3 linked regions of the Drosophila melanogaster genome follow. The protein of the gene in region 1 interacts with the protein of each later gene in a pairwise test. Each region holds a gene or a part of one and is shown in the gene's direction. Other genes may lie near its edges.

Region 1 (4,867 bases):
CTTTCCACTAAAAAAATAGTTAATAGTAGAATATAGAAAACATTTGTGGAATCCCATATATACATGTGGTTATTGTTGTTTTTTAATTAACCCAAAATGTCAATATCATGTGCTGTTGCTAATCCTCGCATACGTTTTTAGGAGCTGCCTCGAATCTGGTGGGGAATAATGCCAGCAACGATGGAAGAGGCATATCACAAGCTCAGACGTCCGCAGGCACATGCGAGACCAGCTTGAGTACGCAGCCCCCAGCGGGAGCATCACGCACAGGAGCCAACGCGACGTCAACAGCGGCATCGGGAAGCAACAGCAGCATCGCAGGTTCCACCCTAACGCTCTCCGCCCAGTCGAACACAACCACCCACTCGGCGAGCACTCTGCACGGTCTGGATGGCGGCCCGTCGACGGGTGGTTTCAACTCGGAGCCGGCGTCCCTGGACTCGGTGGCCTCCATGGGAATCATCGCCAGCACAAGTGGCACCGAGCGATCACGCGATCTGGCCCTATGTGCTGTGCTCATGGACGAGTGGCTTAAGGAGCTGGCTGCCATTGCGCAGGAGCAGAGCGTTGTGCTGGTCACGGAGCAGGGGTCTTTATGATCGCTTGGAACGGAAAGCTTGTGTATACATATTTTACGGATTTGTTAGCCCTTGTTTGTTTTAACCAGCTACTCTTACGAAATTATTCTTTTTACCTGTTAAATTTTCGATATTTATATTTTAAAAAACAACTTTTAACGAACAATGCAGTTTTGAACAGATTTACAAGTTAATGCACACGGACTCAACTAAAAAAAAAAAAGAGAAACACTCAACGCGTTAAACAAATAGATTTAGGTTAAATGTTTTAAGTGAATCGGGACGGTGGATCTTAAGTGTTCAGATGTAAACAAATATTCTAATTACCAGCCGTACGCAAAATTTACAACGTTTATAGAGAGAATTATATAACACACATACCATGTATACATATGTATTTTTGCAATATATTTTATGCTTTTATGTATGCAAGATCAAATTACACAAGTTATGTAAAGCCAACTTGAAAGTATTAAATTGGTCCAAGTAAATGCACAGCCAAGAAGATTTAGTTATTCTTATTATTAGCTTAGGATTTCAGGTTTAACGTGAGAGCCAATTTTATAACATGGCAACCACCAGAGGAGTCAAAGGGACTCACTGGGTATACCTTCTTCTGGTGCGACACGTAAACGCACAGTTCATTCTGCGCAAGTCAGCTGAAGCTGGAGGAGCTGCCTGCATCGGAAACACAGTTTAGGTTTGAGGGCCATTGGGAGAACTGCCTTTGGGGTGTGGCGGCGAAATACGATGATAATTTAGGCGCTGAAATTTAGCCAAAATGTTTTTAAATAAAAGTGTTTCTTATGAAAACTTCAAGCCAATATATTCAAGATTATACTTATTAAAAGAAGCAGGCAAGATAAATTTCCGTTTAGATCGTTAACGGAAGAGTTTGAATTTGAATATGTACTAAAATAGAAGTTGATCGATTGATCGATTTATGCCCACACTTTAAACCAAACACATTCCACTCCGATATCTTAGTCGAACACAAACAATCGATAGTCGACAGCACTGTGGATGGTTGAACGCATCTCTAGAAATCGGTCGCTTTCAGTCACAAAACTGCGATCGTTGCGATCGTTTGCCGTTCAAAAAACGTAAAAGTGCGCATCGCCGGCTGAATTATTGCGTTGTGTTTATTTTATTGTTAAATATCGCATAAATTATGTTATACTTTTCCCCGCCCTGCACTCGATACATTCGTGTTGGCGACTAATCACACCGCCCGCATTTTCGCAAACTTTTTGTTCTTTAGTTGCGAGTGCCGCTTGAGTGTTTGTTAAGTGCAAGGGGAACACCGGCTGAAACCGCCTTTACGGGATTCTAGCCAACCGAAAATAGTTCGCGAAACGCAGCAGGCGACGCGTCTTTTTGGCTCTCGAAAAGGGCATGAAAACTCGCGAACTGTGGCCAATAAAAGATACATACAGGAAAAAGCGATTGCGCGAATTCTCGGCTGCGTGTGCGCTGCAAATTTGCTCGTGCGGAGCAAAAACAAACGAAAATAGCCGGATGAACAAATACATCCAGTGCGAAGAATAATCTACGCTGTATAAACAATTAGCCGCAAAACAAACGGCGGAATCGAGTGCCCCTGTGTGCCAGTGTATTGTGTGTGTCTGTGTGTATCTGTATCCCTGGAATGCGCAGTCGCGCATGCGCAAATATTTGTGATTTGTTTTGAAAGGAGAGAAGGAGCGAGAAACAGAGATAGATAGAGAAACATAGAGAGAGCGCGCGATCGGATTGGAATAAAAAAAAATAAAAGGTGAGTTTTGCTGTTAGATTGGCAATTGCAGCAACTGCAGTTGCCTTGGCCTAAGTTGCCATTTTCCCTGCCCACGTTTCTCCACACAATTAATGTACAGTGCAAGGAACTATTTGAATAACATACATGATAACTCACTCACAAAAAGTTCAATTCAGGCTCTTCAGCTATTGAAAAAACATTGAATCAATACTTTTTTACGTGTACCAAGCCCACGTCAGTCGACTAAAAATCCATGGGCCTCGGCCCACGGAAAATTAACTCATTGCCCCCTCTTTTCCCTTCGATCCAGAAAATTGCTCTATTCTCCTCGGGAACGCCCACTTTGTCAGCGCTACGCCCACCTTGCCCATTTGTTCTTCTTTTGTCTCTGGTCTTTTGTCTTTTCCCTCCACGGTGCGCAAACGAAGGCGGGTTTTTCCTCCACTTATCGCTCGGCCACTACGGCCATAAAAGTCCGAGTAAAAATCAATTTTCAAAACAAGCAGGACAAAAACAAAGGAACGAGCCAGCGAGGCGGCAAGGGGGCAAGAAAGGGAATATCGGACGACAATAACATCAATTTTGAGGCATTTATATGCGCCAATAAATTCAACAGTTGCTTGCTGGTGTGAGTGAGAAGGAGAGGCAGCAGGAGCGATGGCGATAGTATCGCATCCGAGGAAAGCAACAAATAACAGGCAGAAAGATACACGACAACGCGCAACAATAAGACACAAGATCAAACAAAACCAGCAGCGAAAACCGACCACGCTGCAGCATCGCCGTTGCTTTTGTTGTTGCTGCAGCAGTTGCAATAGCAACAGCAACAACCACGCCGCATGCAACAGGTAAAAGCAGCGACGCCACCGTTTCGAAACGAAATGCCCGCAAGAGCGAAAGAGATGGCGCCGAACAACCTGTTACATCGCCCGCTGCCTGAAATATGTAAAGTCAATTTCGTGTATCGGAAAACTGTAACTAATGCCAGGCAACAGCAGCAGCAGCATTAACCCATTAACGCGAAAGGGAGAAATCGGCCAAGAAATGCAAATGCATTGTCCATGGGTTAAATGGAAAGGCGGGATGGTGTAGTTGGGAAAACTGCTTGGCCACATACCACAAACAATGCAACAGTCAGGCATCGTTTGAATTGGCAAAATGTAAATAGTAATTAATATTAATACAATTATTAACACTATTACTTCTCGGACAAAAAGTATGTTTCCTTAGGGGTCTAAGTTGAATGTTTAATATTACTCATTTCTTTAAGCCTTCATCCGAGTTGGAATCTTTTTGCGGTCATGAGGCTTTTCTAAAGTATCCACAAGAATCTCCTCCTGACTTGGCCCGGCATCTTAATGGGTTAAGATCCGCGCCCGTGGGCAACTGAGGCCAAGTTCGTTGTACGCGGCGGCAAATAAAAGACAGCGCAGTCGAGTAAGAAATTTTTGTCAATGAAAGAAAACTTTCTTTTGGGCTTATCCACGCCAACATCGCCGCCGGTCCTCCGTTCACTCTTTCGTTGTCTGTCCTCCTCGCCGGTGATTTTGTTTTGTGTGTCGCCCTGCTCTTTATATTCCTATAAGCACCCATCCATATACGTATATCTTTCTGTTTAATTGGGCGGTTTCGAGATTTACGCGCGCCTGCCGCCATCTGCAGAATCTCTTTGGAGTATAATGATCTTTTGGATCTCTACGTCTCCGCGGGCTCCTCTTCATGGTCCATTAAGACAATTTAGCCTGGCTTCTCTTTTCCGGGCCTTCGGGACTCGGCCATCGGATGCGTGGGAGTGGCAGGGGCGGCATGGGAGTGACTGATGCGTGGGAAGCCTCGTCTGTTTGTCATCTTGGGGCTGCAGGTTTGATTGCTTGCGAGCCAAGCCAGGGCAGACCAAGCCAAGTCATCCAGCCATCGAGTGTCCAAGTTGGCGCAACAAGTGTCCCAGTTTGTGGAACGGCTAGAAGCCAGCTACTCGAACTAGAACTAGTTTAAGTTTCCTGTCCCGGCAGCCATAGCTGGAATCTCCTCCACATGGTCACATACTTGCATGCTTATAGTGGCGGTGGAAATGCTAGAAGTAGGTTAGTTTAAATGCTTCGCTTTGCGATCTGTGGATAAACACGTCTCACAAAATCGTATATCATACATATATCCCAAAAATTATATAAACGCCAAGATTATTTAATAAGAGATCAGAATATAATATGCTATATAAGACTTATATTATCTTTGAGTGACATTTTTGGTGCTATTCGTTTGAGCGCAACTGTGACTTTTCTTTTAGGCTCGGTCATGTTGACTCTTGCTGCCGTTTCTGCGGTCGCCTGGAGGAAACCCCCTTTTGGCCAACCTACTCCCCTGTTATTAACCGTTTGGCCACATTTTCTCACACAGAGTGCGCAGAAATACTTGGCAGGCCACTCTGGCAATTGGCGCGCCTCTGGAAATGACAAACGGTCATGAGCATGTGGCTCCGGCCCACGAGGAAGCACAAGGGGGCGTCTCGAGCAGCTAGCAGCTCCACTAAATT
Region 2 (4,143 bases), on another chromosome or scaffold:
AAGTGGTTTGTTAGATCAGTTGGGATTGCTCTCTCTCCACCGAAAGGACAGTACTCACCTTGATGCGTCCGTTGAGGGCCAGCAGCTCAACACCACCGCAGGTATCAGCAGAGAGGAAGTCTTTCTCGTCGATGAACAGCTCGACGTTCTGATTGATCTGGGCCTTGTATTGCTCCACAGCGGCAGGCAGGACGTTACGTACCAGGGGGACGTCCACCTCGCGGCAGCGCAGGATCACCTTGGGCTCCATGATCTGGAACAGGCCCTGGACGATGAGCTTGGTCAGCACAGTCTCGTACTCGGACTGATTCTTGGTGACCTCGCCGAGACGCTTGCGGGCATCATCCAGCACGCTGCTCACATGGTCCTCGCGCACTTTCAGCACCTACAGGGTACATTACGAATGATTAAAAATAAGGTGTTTTCCGGTATATGTTAGGGCCACCAACTGGACGACACGCACCTTCAGACGAGCCTGGTTGAGCATGTTGGAGGACTGAATCTTCTTCTGCAGCTCAACTTGCTTCTCCTTCTTCTCGTAGTATTCCATGATCTTGAGACGCTGCTGCTGGACCAGGCGTCCCTTCTCAATGTTGAACTCCTCCTCGGCCTTGGCATCGATCTCCTCGGCTTTCTCATTGGCCTCCTGCTCAATGAACGCCATCATGTGCTTGATCTGAAACAGTCGTCCTGTTTAGTAGTTGCCTGTGTGTCACATGATAACTGGACATGATAAATGGAAAAGGGAGACGTCCAAGACCCTAGCCTCTATTTATTTTCGTTAAAGTTTTGATAACGTAAGGGGTCCGCTGGTCGTGTGACAGAGAGTACGAGTGTGGGGTGCAGGGCTAGTCGTCTCGCTCCAACACATTGCTCCAATGCGGGGGCCGTGTCACATGACCAGCACGAATTTTTACTCACTTTTTACGCAAACTATCTGGACAAATAAATTGATGTGTCTTCATTAGCCAACAAATATGTCAAAACTCCGGCAACTCCCAAATGACCGGGCCGATTTGGAAGGATGTCAGTCTAATTGGACTACTGGCGGTGAAAAGTTCACATGACCTGGGAGATCCCATGACTTCGCCATCTTTATTGCAAAGGCAAATTGCAAAGGCAAAAAGGCAAACGAAGCCTCTCGTTTTGCTTGTTTCCCTACGACCTTGATCGCCTGCCCGTTCCCAATCCAAGTTTTCAATTACCTGCTTTTGTACATCAGCATCGCTCAGTGCCATTTTGACTGATTTTTTTCACTGCACAAACCGAAAGGAAATTCAAGTGTTTTAAAGAAGCCCACGTACAACAACCGTGCCTGGAAATAATTGAAATTTAATTAAGCTAATACATTCACAGCCGAACTGAGTTGGAAACGGCGGCCCAACACGAGGAAAGTGGAAAACGATAAGTTACTTTTGCCTTCTGCCCAACGTCTGAAAATTTTCACTGCAAATCGATCATATGATTTCACGAAAGTGTGACCCTGCGATTGCGAGGGTAAAAATGTGTATTTGTTGTCGCTGTCAGACCACCGATAGACGATGTAATTGTTATCGCATTTGTAACAGAGGCTTCACTTTAATCGACTAGGTAGAAAAATCATGCGATATAATCTATATATGATAATGAAAAATCAATTTGGCTCTTTAAATATCATTACTATATTACTCGAATAATCGAGCGTTAATTTGATACATCTGCATTCCCGAAATCCACATTAATTGCCAGTGTGATCGGAGTATAATAACCTGACAATAATATGATGTGACAATATAAGCCATCCCTGCTTTATTGTAAGTGTATTTTTTAATGTACACACGCTGACGAAAAGTTGTGTTTTCTTCGGGATTTCGCTAAGTGAAAGGCCTCCATTTGATATTTCCCCGCATTAAATCCTCGCATTCAAGAGCCATGGAGACGCTCCTGGAGCAACAGCGGCGCCTACACGAGGAGCGCGAGCGCCTGGTCAAACTGATGGTGGACGAGCATGCGACCAAAAAGCCGGGCGAAAAGGAGCGCATCCATTCGGAGCACCGGCTTAAATACCTCATGGAACTGCATCACAACTCTACGTCCCAGCTACGCGATCTCTACGAGGACAAGGACAATGAACGAAAGGCGGAGATTGCCGCTCTTTCGGGGCCCAACGAGTTCAATGAGTTCTACGCCCGCCTCAAGCAAATCAAGCAGTTCTACAAGTCCCATCCGGCGGAGGTCAGCGTGCCGCTGTCCGTCGAGTTCGACGAGATGATTCGGGTGTACAACAATCCGGACGACATGAGTGCCCTAGTGGAGTTCACTGACGAGGAGGGCGGCGGTCGCTATCTGGACCTCAACGAGTGCTACGAGCTGTACCTCAACTTGCGGTCGGTGGAGAAACTGGACTATATCACTTACCTTATGTCCTTTGACCACGTCTTCGATATTCCGAGAGAGCGCAAGAACCGCGAGTACCGCATATACATAGAGACCCTCAACGACTACCTGCACCACTTCATCCTCCGAATCCAGCCCTTGCTCGACCTGGAGGGCGAACTGCTAAAGGTGGAACTTGACTTCCAGCGCCAGTGGCTGATGGGCACATTTCCGGGTTTTTCGATTAAGGAAACTGAGTCGGCGTTGGCCAACACCGGCGCCCACCTTGATCTATCCGCCTTCTCCAGCTGGGAGGAGCTGGCCTCGCTAGGACTGGATCGTCTAAAGTCGGCTTTGGTGGCTCTGGGTCTTAAGTGCGGCGGCACCCTGGAGGAGCGAGCACAGCGTTTATTCTCTACAAAAGGTAAAAGCACCTTGGATCCCGCACTGATGGCCAAGAAGCCCAGCGCAAAGACTGCTAGTGCCCAGTCACGGGAGCACGAACGCCACAAGGAGATTGCCCAGCTAGAGGCTCTGCTCTACAAATACGCGGATCTGTTGTCTGAGCAGAGAGCGGCTACCAAGGAGAATGTGCAGAGAAAACAGGCTCGGACTGGTGGCGAGCGGGACGATAGCGATGTGGAGGCCAGCGAGTCGGACAACGAAGATGATCCCGACGCGGACGACGTTCCGTACAATCCCAAGAACTTGCCGCTCGGATGGGACGGTAAACCTATCCCCTACTGGTTGTATAAACTGCATGGCCTGAATATTAGCTATAATTGCGAGATATGTGGAAACTTCACCTACAAGGGTCCTAAGGCTTTTCAACGACACTTCGCCGAGTGGCGGCATGCGCACGGCATGCGATGCCTCGGCATTCCGAACACCGCCCATTTCGCCAATGTCACCCAGATCGAGGACGCAATCACGTTGTGGGAAAAACTCAAGTCGCAAAAGCAGAGCGAGCGCTGGGTAGCCGATCAGGAGGAAGAGTTCGAGGACTCGCTGGGAAACGTTGTCAACCGAAAGACGTTCGAGGATCTAAAACGCCAGGGTCTACTTTAGAGGACAAGCCTACGATTATGGTCGCTTGAGTACCGGTCAATTCTATATGACGCTTCCTCTAAAACCTCAACAGTCTTTATAATTCAAAACGGAATGACACTAAAATTGGTTTTATTTAAGGAATCTAATGTTAAGCCATAAAACCATTGGGCGTCCTTTTATTCATTAAAGAAAGACCATGGATCAGCCAACGATTCATGATTAGAATCAATTGTAGTTTAAAATAAACCCAACGTCGTGTAGTTTTCGATAAAATGGATAACAGTTTTAGGAATATAACATTAATTAACGATGAGGACATCCATTTTCAGTCCCAAATCATCTACCCTAGCCAAAGGAAGGAGGTAAACGGTTCGCCCTGTCGCTTGGGATTCAGTTTTTTGGGTCTGAAGCCAGGGAAACTCCTGGTACTGGGAGTCATGGCTGAAGCGGATGAATGCCTCCTGGGTAGTGTGCAGATGCACCTTAAACTGACAACTTCCGGCGGGCAGTTTAGGCGCCTGGTTTAAGCGCTGAGAGATTTTGTAGATGACAGAGCGCATGTTCTGCTCGAACTCCATCAAATGATCCTCTGCCGGTAGGCCACTCCTCTGGGTTTCTAGTTGCATTTTATAGCTCTCCAACTTCTCATTCTCCTTCTGATACACTATTAGCTCCAGGCACTGCAGCTCCCGGCGGCGAAGAAGTTCTTGTGCGGATTTTAGGACGCCGGCCAGGTAG
Region 3 (5,978 bases), on another chromosome or scaffold:
GTGATGAATTGCTCCTGGATCTGGTTTATCTCCAGAAGATGGCCGAATCCGCAGAGCGCAATCAACGTAACGCCCGTTTGCAGGAGGTGCTCAAACAGACCAGCCTGGACGAGGTCCTGGAAAAGAGTCTAACCACCGAGTACTCACCGCGTTTTATAAAACTGCTAAAGACGGCGGAGCTTTATAAGGAGGCGGGCGAGCAGCAGGCCAAGGCATTTGTGGGTCTTTAGACCGCTTTAATCAACGTTTTAGATTTTTGTTTCAATTCATTAGTTGTTTTTTTCAATTAAAAATTCCCTTTGTTTGAGTTAAGTCATATATTTTTAACACATTTGAAATAAGCAACAAAATTCGTTTGAATTTATGTCAATAAATATTTTGAATAACACTTAGTTATTGTAAAATATTTTTAAGAATATAGTTTTATCCAAAGTAGTGCGAGAGTCCCAGATTGGCACCCAGATCGGTCTGGCCCTTGAAGGGTCCACTTGTCCACTTGGATGCCGTGCTGCCCAGATCTAGCCTTGTGTTGCGATCCTGCGACTGCCAAAGATTGGCACGCCCACCCAGCTCCAATTGCTTACCCAATCCGGGAATATTGGCGTGCGTCAGGGTAGCTCCATGACCTTTGATGTGGGAGTAGTCCAGTGCAGCTTCATTTCTATCGAACTTGAAGCCATTGGCAAGCTGATTCTGCGAGGCAAATGCCTTGGCATCCAGATTGTGAACACCGTTGTTGAACAAATTGGCGGTGGCCGTTTGCTGGAAGCTATCCCGCACACCGGGCGTATGGGTTTTGGTCAGTTCCAGGCCGTGTCCATGACTGCTCATGAAAAATAAGATTAGTTTCGCTATTGCTCAGATCGTAATCCTTTAAGAGACTCACTTGTTGTAGCCCAGGGTGGCGCCGCTGGTTACGGGAGTGGATACCGGTTTGGTCTGCGTGTTGCCCGCTGCGAACACTTGTCCAATAACATGGTGATCGGGAGTTCCAACGGCCTTGCTTAGGTCCAATCGGGCATCGGCACCGCCACTCGGATTGGATGTGAGTGATCCACCCAACACCTGGCGACGTGCCCTGTAGATTCTGGGTGGCGTCGGTGGTGGAGATCAGTGGCTGGGTATACGGACGTTGGGGCAAGGCCACCGCAAGGGAGCCAAGTACGCCAACGATGACCACAATTAGGAGAACAATTTTGCTCATCTTGCTGTATTAATCTCTTGATTTTCGATCTACTTGACTAAGCGGCTGACTGTTGACTGACGATGCTGGGATCTGGTCACCGTGAATTATATAGCAATCTATCTCTGAGTGGGGCTTCCCATCGAAACCGACAATGAATACCAATTTATAGATGGAAGATTTGTGATGCCTTATCTGTAAGCTGAGCAATGTTTCGCACTGGGATCCCCGAATGACCAGGTGGTTCACACCGTCTGATAAGAGATTGTGCATCCCCTTGAAACTACTTGCCGGTGATTTGCAAACTCTTTAAGGGTTTATTTTGAAGACAATTTTAATTAAATATATTTATGAATTTATATATAATAAAACAAGAATTTTAAAATAAAATCAATTTGAATTCAATTTATAATAACATATTTGCCAATGAGTAAGTTCAAATTTTAATAGAGTTAGCTTTTAAATTTTTTATGACATTTCATGACATTTAAGACTGTTTAAAAATCTAGTTAATTGGTATTCTTTGTATACACAATTCAGAGGATAAGGGATCAAATTCGATTAGTACGCGATGCAAGTGCCCCTGCTCCACCGGAGCACCCAGATGGTGCTGCTGAAGAAGCAGATCCGGCGGAAGGCGAAGGAGTTGCGTCTGCGAAAGCGTCACGCCCACCGCCGCCTTCAGGTGATGAGAAGGATCCGTGACCATCTGCTCGACAGGATGAGGAACTCCATAGATCACCGGCAGCGGGATGCGGAGCAGAAGAAGAGGGAGCAGACACGGAGGGCGGTGGGCGGTATGCTTTCCATGTACAAGCATTGGCTGCGCAGCTGGTCAAAAGCTTTAAGGTTACAAAGTCAGCTAATTCGGCACCAGGAGCATGTAAAAGTGGGAATGCGTCGCAAACTTCGACACTTGAGGAGGCAGTTGAAGAAAGTCCGCAATCCAAAGAACTTGGTCGACAAGTGCTTCCATCGACTGTTCAAGGCAGTTAGGAAGTGGCAAAAGAAACCGGATTACTACGAACACGTCAAGGATCAGGACAAGATCTGGGAGGCAGAGGCACTGGAGGTTCGAAACTATTTATCGGAGGTTCGGGGAAGGCGACCACGAAAGCTAAGCCGTGGCAGGGTTAAAAAGGATTTCGAAATCGAGGACTTTGCTAAATTTTGGAAAACTGAAGTGTTGCAAACAAACGCTATGATCAATAAACAAAGGGCCATGAGAGGAAGAAACGTGCCAGTAGATACAGCACATGATAAAACTAGGAAATCAAAGAAGAAATTGTGGAAAAGAAAAAAATTATATATCAGCTTAGATGAACTTGTTATTCGGAAAAAATTGAAAAGAATTCGGAAGGACATTCGAAAGCCAAAGAAACATGATCCATTAAAACCATCTTTAGAGGAACTGAAAATGTTGATAAGGGAACTAATCAGCTTCAACTGGAAAAAGATAGTTATTAAAAACCCGAAAATTAACAGAAAAGCCATAAGAAACCCCAAATTTGATTTTGACAAAATCTCCGATATTACAACTTTAAACCCAAAAGTACGAATAAAAAGAATTGTGAAAAGCGGACGAGCTCCCAGAAATGTTCCAGATCCGAAAATCATTAAATTCAAGGTAACAAGACCTAAACTTCGAAAGCGTAAAATGCACTATGTGGATAGGGTAATTAAAGACGAATTAAATGCACTTTTAGAGACAAAGGCAAAGAAAAGGGGCAATCGTCATGGAAAAACTAAAGAAGCTGAAACTTTTCAACAGGAAAAGGAAAAAAGAGACTTGGAAAAGCAAGAAAATGTACTCGAAAGATTATATAATGATATACCCCTATATATGAGGCGTGATATTGAGAGAAGAAATAGGAAAAAACTACGTGACAAACTTCAAGCTTCTAGTTCGAGTAGTTCGATTGCGTCCAAAGAGGTTTTCATCGGATCCGAAAAAGTGGCCACTAAGTCGGATAAGCACAAAAAGCTTTCCAGTACGAGCAGCGTTTACGTAATCAAAGACCGACCCGAATTATCTGCCGAGAGGAGTGGTTCTCATGTGTTATTCAAAAGGGATAGCGTTGCGTCCCTCACTGAATCACTGAATAAATTAGTTATGGGCAATCGAAACCGAAAATTTACCCGTAAATCTATTCGCATGCCACCCATCATACCCAAGAAGATCCGCGTTGCTCCTCCAAGAGGTCAAGAGGAAAGTCACTATCAGTCTTTGAAGAAGGATATCATGTACCTTCCTACAAACAGCGAGCATATGGGTGTATCTAGGATTACAGCCAGCGAATCAGCTCTGCACAGAGGGAACCAATCGAACAGGCATCTTCCACGAAGGGCTTCCGATACCCAAGTTGGTATTTATCCGACTAAATCCCAAAGCCAAGTTTTTGGTCATCTATCTTCGAAATCGACATCCAAAAATAAATTTAAATATGATGCGCTGCCAGATGATCTTGAAAAACTCCTTGCACCGGTGCGAGATCGCCACGACAAAACAGAAAATGCCCCAAAGCCCTACGTCAAAGAGTTCGAATTCGAACGGTTTCATTTGAAAGATCTACGCTCAGATGCCAAATTCAAACACTTGCAGTTCCTCCTTAAGGACGTCATACAAAGAAACGAAGTTATCGAGTATATTGCCGATGTTAATGGACTTATGCAGGAAGTAGCTAACCATGAAATGTGGTCCCATCTTCAGAGTCTCTACAACGAACTCACAGATGCAGGAGTTACGTTAACGCAAATTAAGGAAAGTCTGGCCAAAAAGTACTTGGAGTATCTTAACGAAATAGTGACCGAGAAGAACTATGCACGAATGGAACCGCCGCGGGACAATATGCTTAACGTTTTGGAAACCGAATCTATGAAAGCCAAACAGAAGAAAGAGGTGGAAAAGTTTATGGAGCGAAACTGGTGGTCTAGGAAGCGGGTCAGCACACGGCTCATTCCCTTCGGCATGCGGGGAATAAGGACGAGCAAAATTGACCCATCTCACAGCTCACGCCAGTCGCAGGAAATCAAGATGAACGGCGGAATGTACAATAAACTCCTCGAGCAGGAGCTCAATGCAGAACGATTGGAGCGCGAGGAGCGTAAGAGAAGACGCTTTAGCAGCACCTTTGGATCAACTATAAGCTTCAACAACAGCTTGGATCTGGCGGCCAACGAGGAGCAGGATGTGCGGGACATCGAGTGGCGCTACTCGCTACACAACATTAGGAGCATGATGAACCAGCACCAGCTGATGTTTCAGGTGGGTTAACTATACTCAACCGCCAAAAAGTTATAAAATAACATCTTCGAAATACATTTTTATTCTTTCTTTCAGGCTTTGGATCGCAAATCGCGAGTGGAGCAGTTGGTCCACAAGAAGATGAAGGGAAAAGTCGAAGAATTGTATACCTCTGCACAATTTAGGCGTCCTAAATTCCGTTCCACCACTTTTACGGCAAGGAAGAGGAGCAAAGATCTTAGGCCCATCGAGGAACTTTACTACTCACCCCGAAAAACTTGTCGCCTGCAGAAGATCTCCTGTTCCGCAGAGTGTTTGGCATGCGAAGGCCAAGTTGAGAAAATTGGTGATTCGATGATCCTGGACAAGTGTCCTCGGTGTGGAGTAAAGGTGCCTGTGCCCGCGCCCACTACCCCGTTCTCCATGTCGTCCTCGTCCAGCTGCGAGATCTTGTCCAGCGGATCCATAGAAGCCTGTGCCAAGAACAAGCTGCTAATCAACACGCTCGAGGACCTTTGCACACGCTGTGGCTATGTCCATAAAAAGGGGCATCTTTGCTCACAGTTACCCATGAATGAGCGGAAGACCAAGCTTCTAAAGCGGATTAAGGGCACCGTACCTACTGCTCCCGAGTGCCCGGCATTTTGCTGCCCACGCGGGATCCTTAAGAATACCAGAAGTTTTGATCCTTAGCAGGGGCGACAAGGAGTGCTGAGTACTTTTGAAGCCACCAAAGTGGTAACTAAACTCCGGATATGCACGGATATGAGCACCACCAAATCAGCCGGCTGAGGCGAATGAAACATTTGGTTTAAGTGCTAAATAAATTCAAGTAATGAGTTTGCCTCTGTCTGTGGGTGTGCCTGTGTTGTTAAATGCTTTGCCAAGTTTCATAAAATATGCAAGGACTTTTGCACACACACACACACACACATTGCACACCAACAAACAGGGCCAAGCTCATGCGATGCACTCACGTAGAGAGAAAATGTCTGCGGGCTTTTAATACACTTGCAGGATGCTCCTTCTCCTGGTCGTGTTCCTTATCCCCTTGCTGCTCCACCCACTGCTCCCCCCGATGCTCCTGCCACGACTTCTCGCTCATGCAACGAAATTTCATCTTGCCTCCTTTTTTTTTCGGCCAAGTTTTTAAGTCGAGCCATTGCTGTAATGGAATTTTATTGCATACTCGCACTCGCATTCTGTTTGCGCAAGCGAAACATGTTTCAGACATTTTCATAAATGAAAACGCTTAACTACACAGCCGCCGATTGGCCGAAGATCAGGCAGGCTCTCAAGGAATTTTCCGAGTAACAGATCCTATATTTCAAAATTGTTGCAATTAAAATGGAACTGTGCTTACAATGTTATTGGTTCTTCAGTAAGGATATTCTCATTTAATTTAGGACATTTTATGTATTTTTATACCAGATCAGTGGATATTACTTACTGATTTATAAAGCTTGTAAGACTGCATTTGGAAATCCTAATATTTGTTAATCTAGTTCTTGCTCTTACAAATCTGCTTATTTTTCTTTTTTCATTTTATAT

Evidence for each region. The genes of interacting proteins can lie anywhere in the genome.
Region 2: the proteins of Ccdc85 (region 1) and noi interact in a two-hybrid assay, tested with the Drosophila melanogaster proteins (one large-scale study listed by BioGRID).
Region 3: the proteins of Ccdc85 (region 1) and CG43691 interact in a two-hybrid assay, tested with the Drosophila melanogaster proteins (one large-scale study listed by BioGRID).

Annotation. Positions count from the first base shown.
Region 1 is NT_033779.5:2,997,650-3,002,516, forward strand, and holds the start of Ccdc85 (Ccdc85), read left to right. Parts: upstream 1-1,636; 5' UTR 1,637-2,352; intron 2,353-4,867. Other genes in the region: CG3558 (uncharacterized protein), read left to right, coding at 142-599.
Region 2 is NT_033777.3:5,589,101-5,593,243, reverse strand, and holds noi (noisette), read left to right. Parts: upstream 1-1,784; 5' UTR 1,785-1,911; coding exon 1,912-3,423; 3' UTR 3,424-3,643; downstream 3,644-4,143. Other genes in the region: Vha26 (vacuolar H[+]-ATPase 26kD subunit), read right to left, coding at 59-385, 464-676, 1,206-1,238; PolZ2 (DNA polymerase zeta subunit 2), read right to left, coding at 3,705-4,143. UniProt on the Drosophila melanogaster protein: Probable subunit of a splicing factor complex required for 'A' complex assembly formed by the stable binding of U2 snRNP to the branchpoint sequence (BPS) in pre-mRNA. Involved in male fertility.
Region 3 is NT_033778.4:13,388,995-13,394,972, reverse strand, and holds CG43691 (uncharacterized protein), read left to right. Parts: upstream 1-1,611; 5' UTR 1,612-1,754; coding exon 1,755-4,448; intron 4,449-4,523; coding exon 4,524-5,120; 3' UTR 5,121-5,478; downstream 5,479-5,978. Other genes in the region: CG4744 (uncharacterized protein), read left to right, coding at 1-230.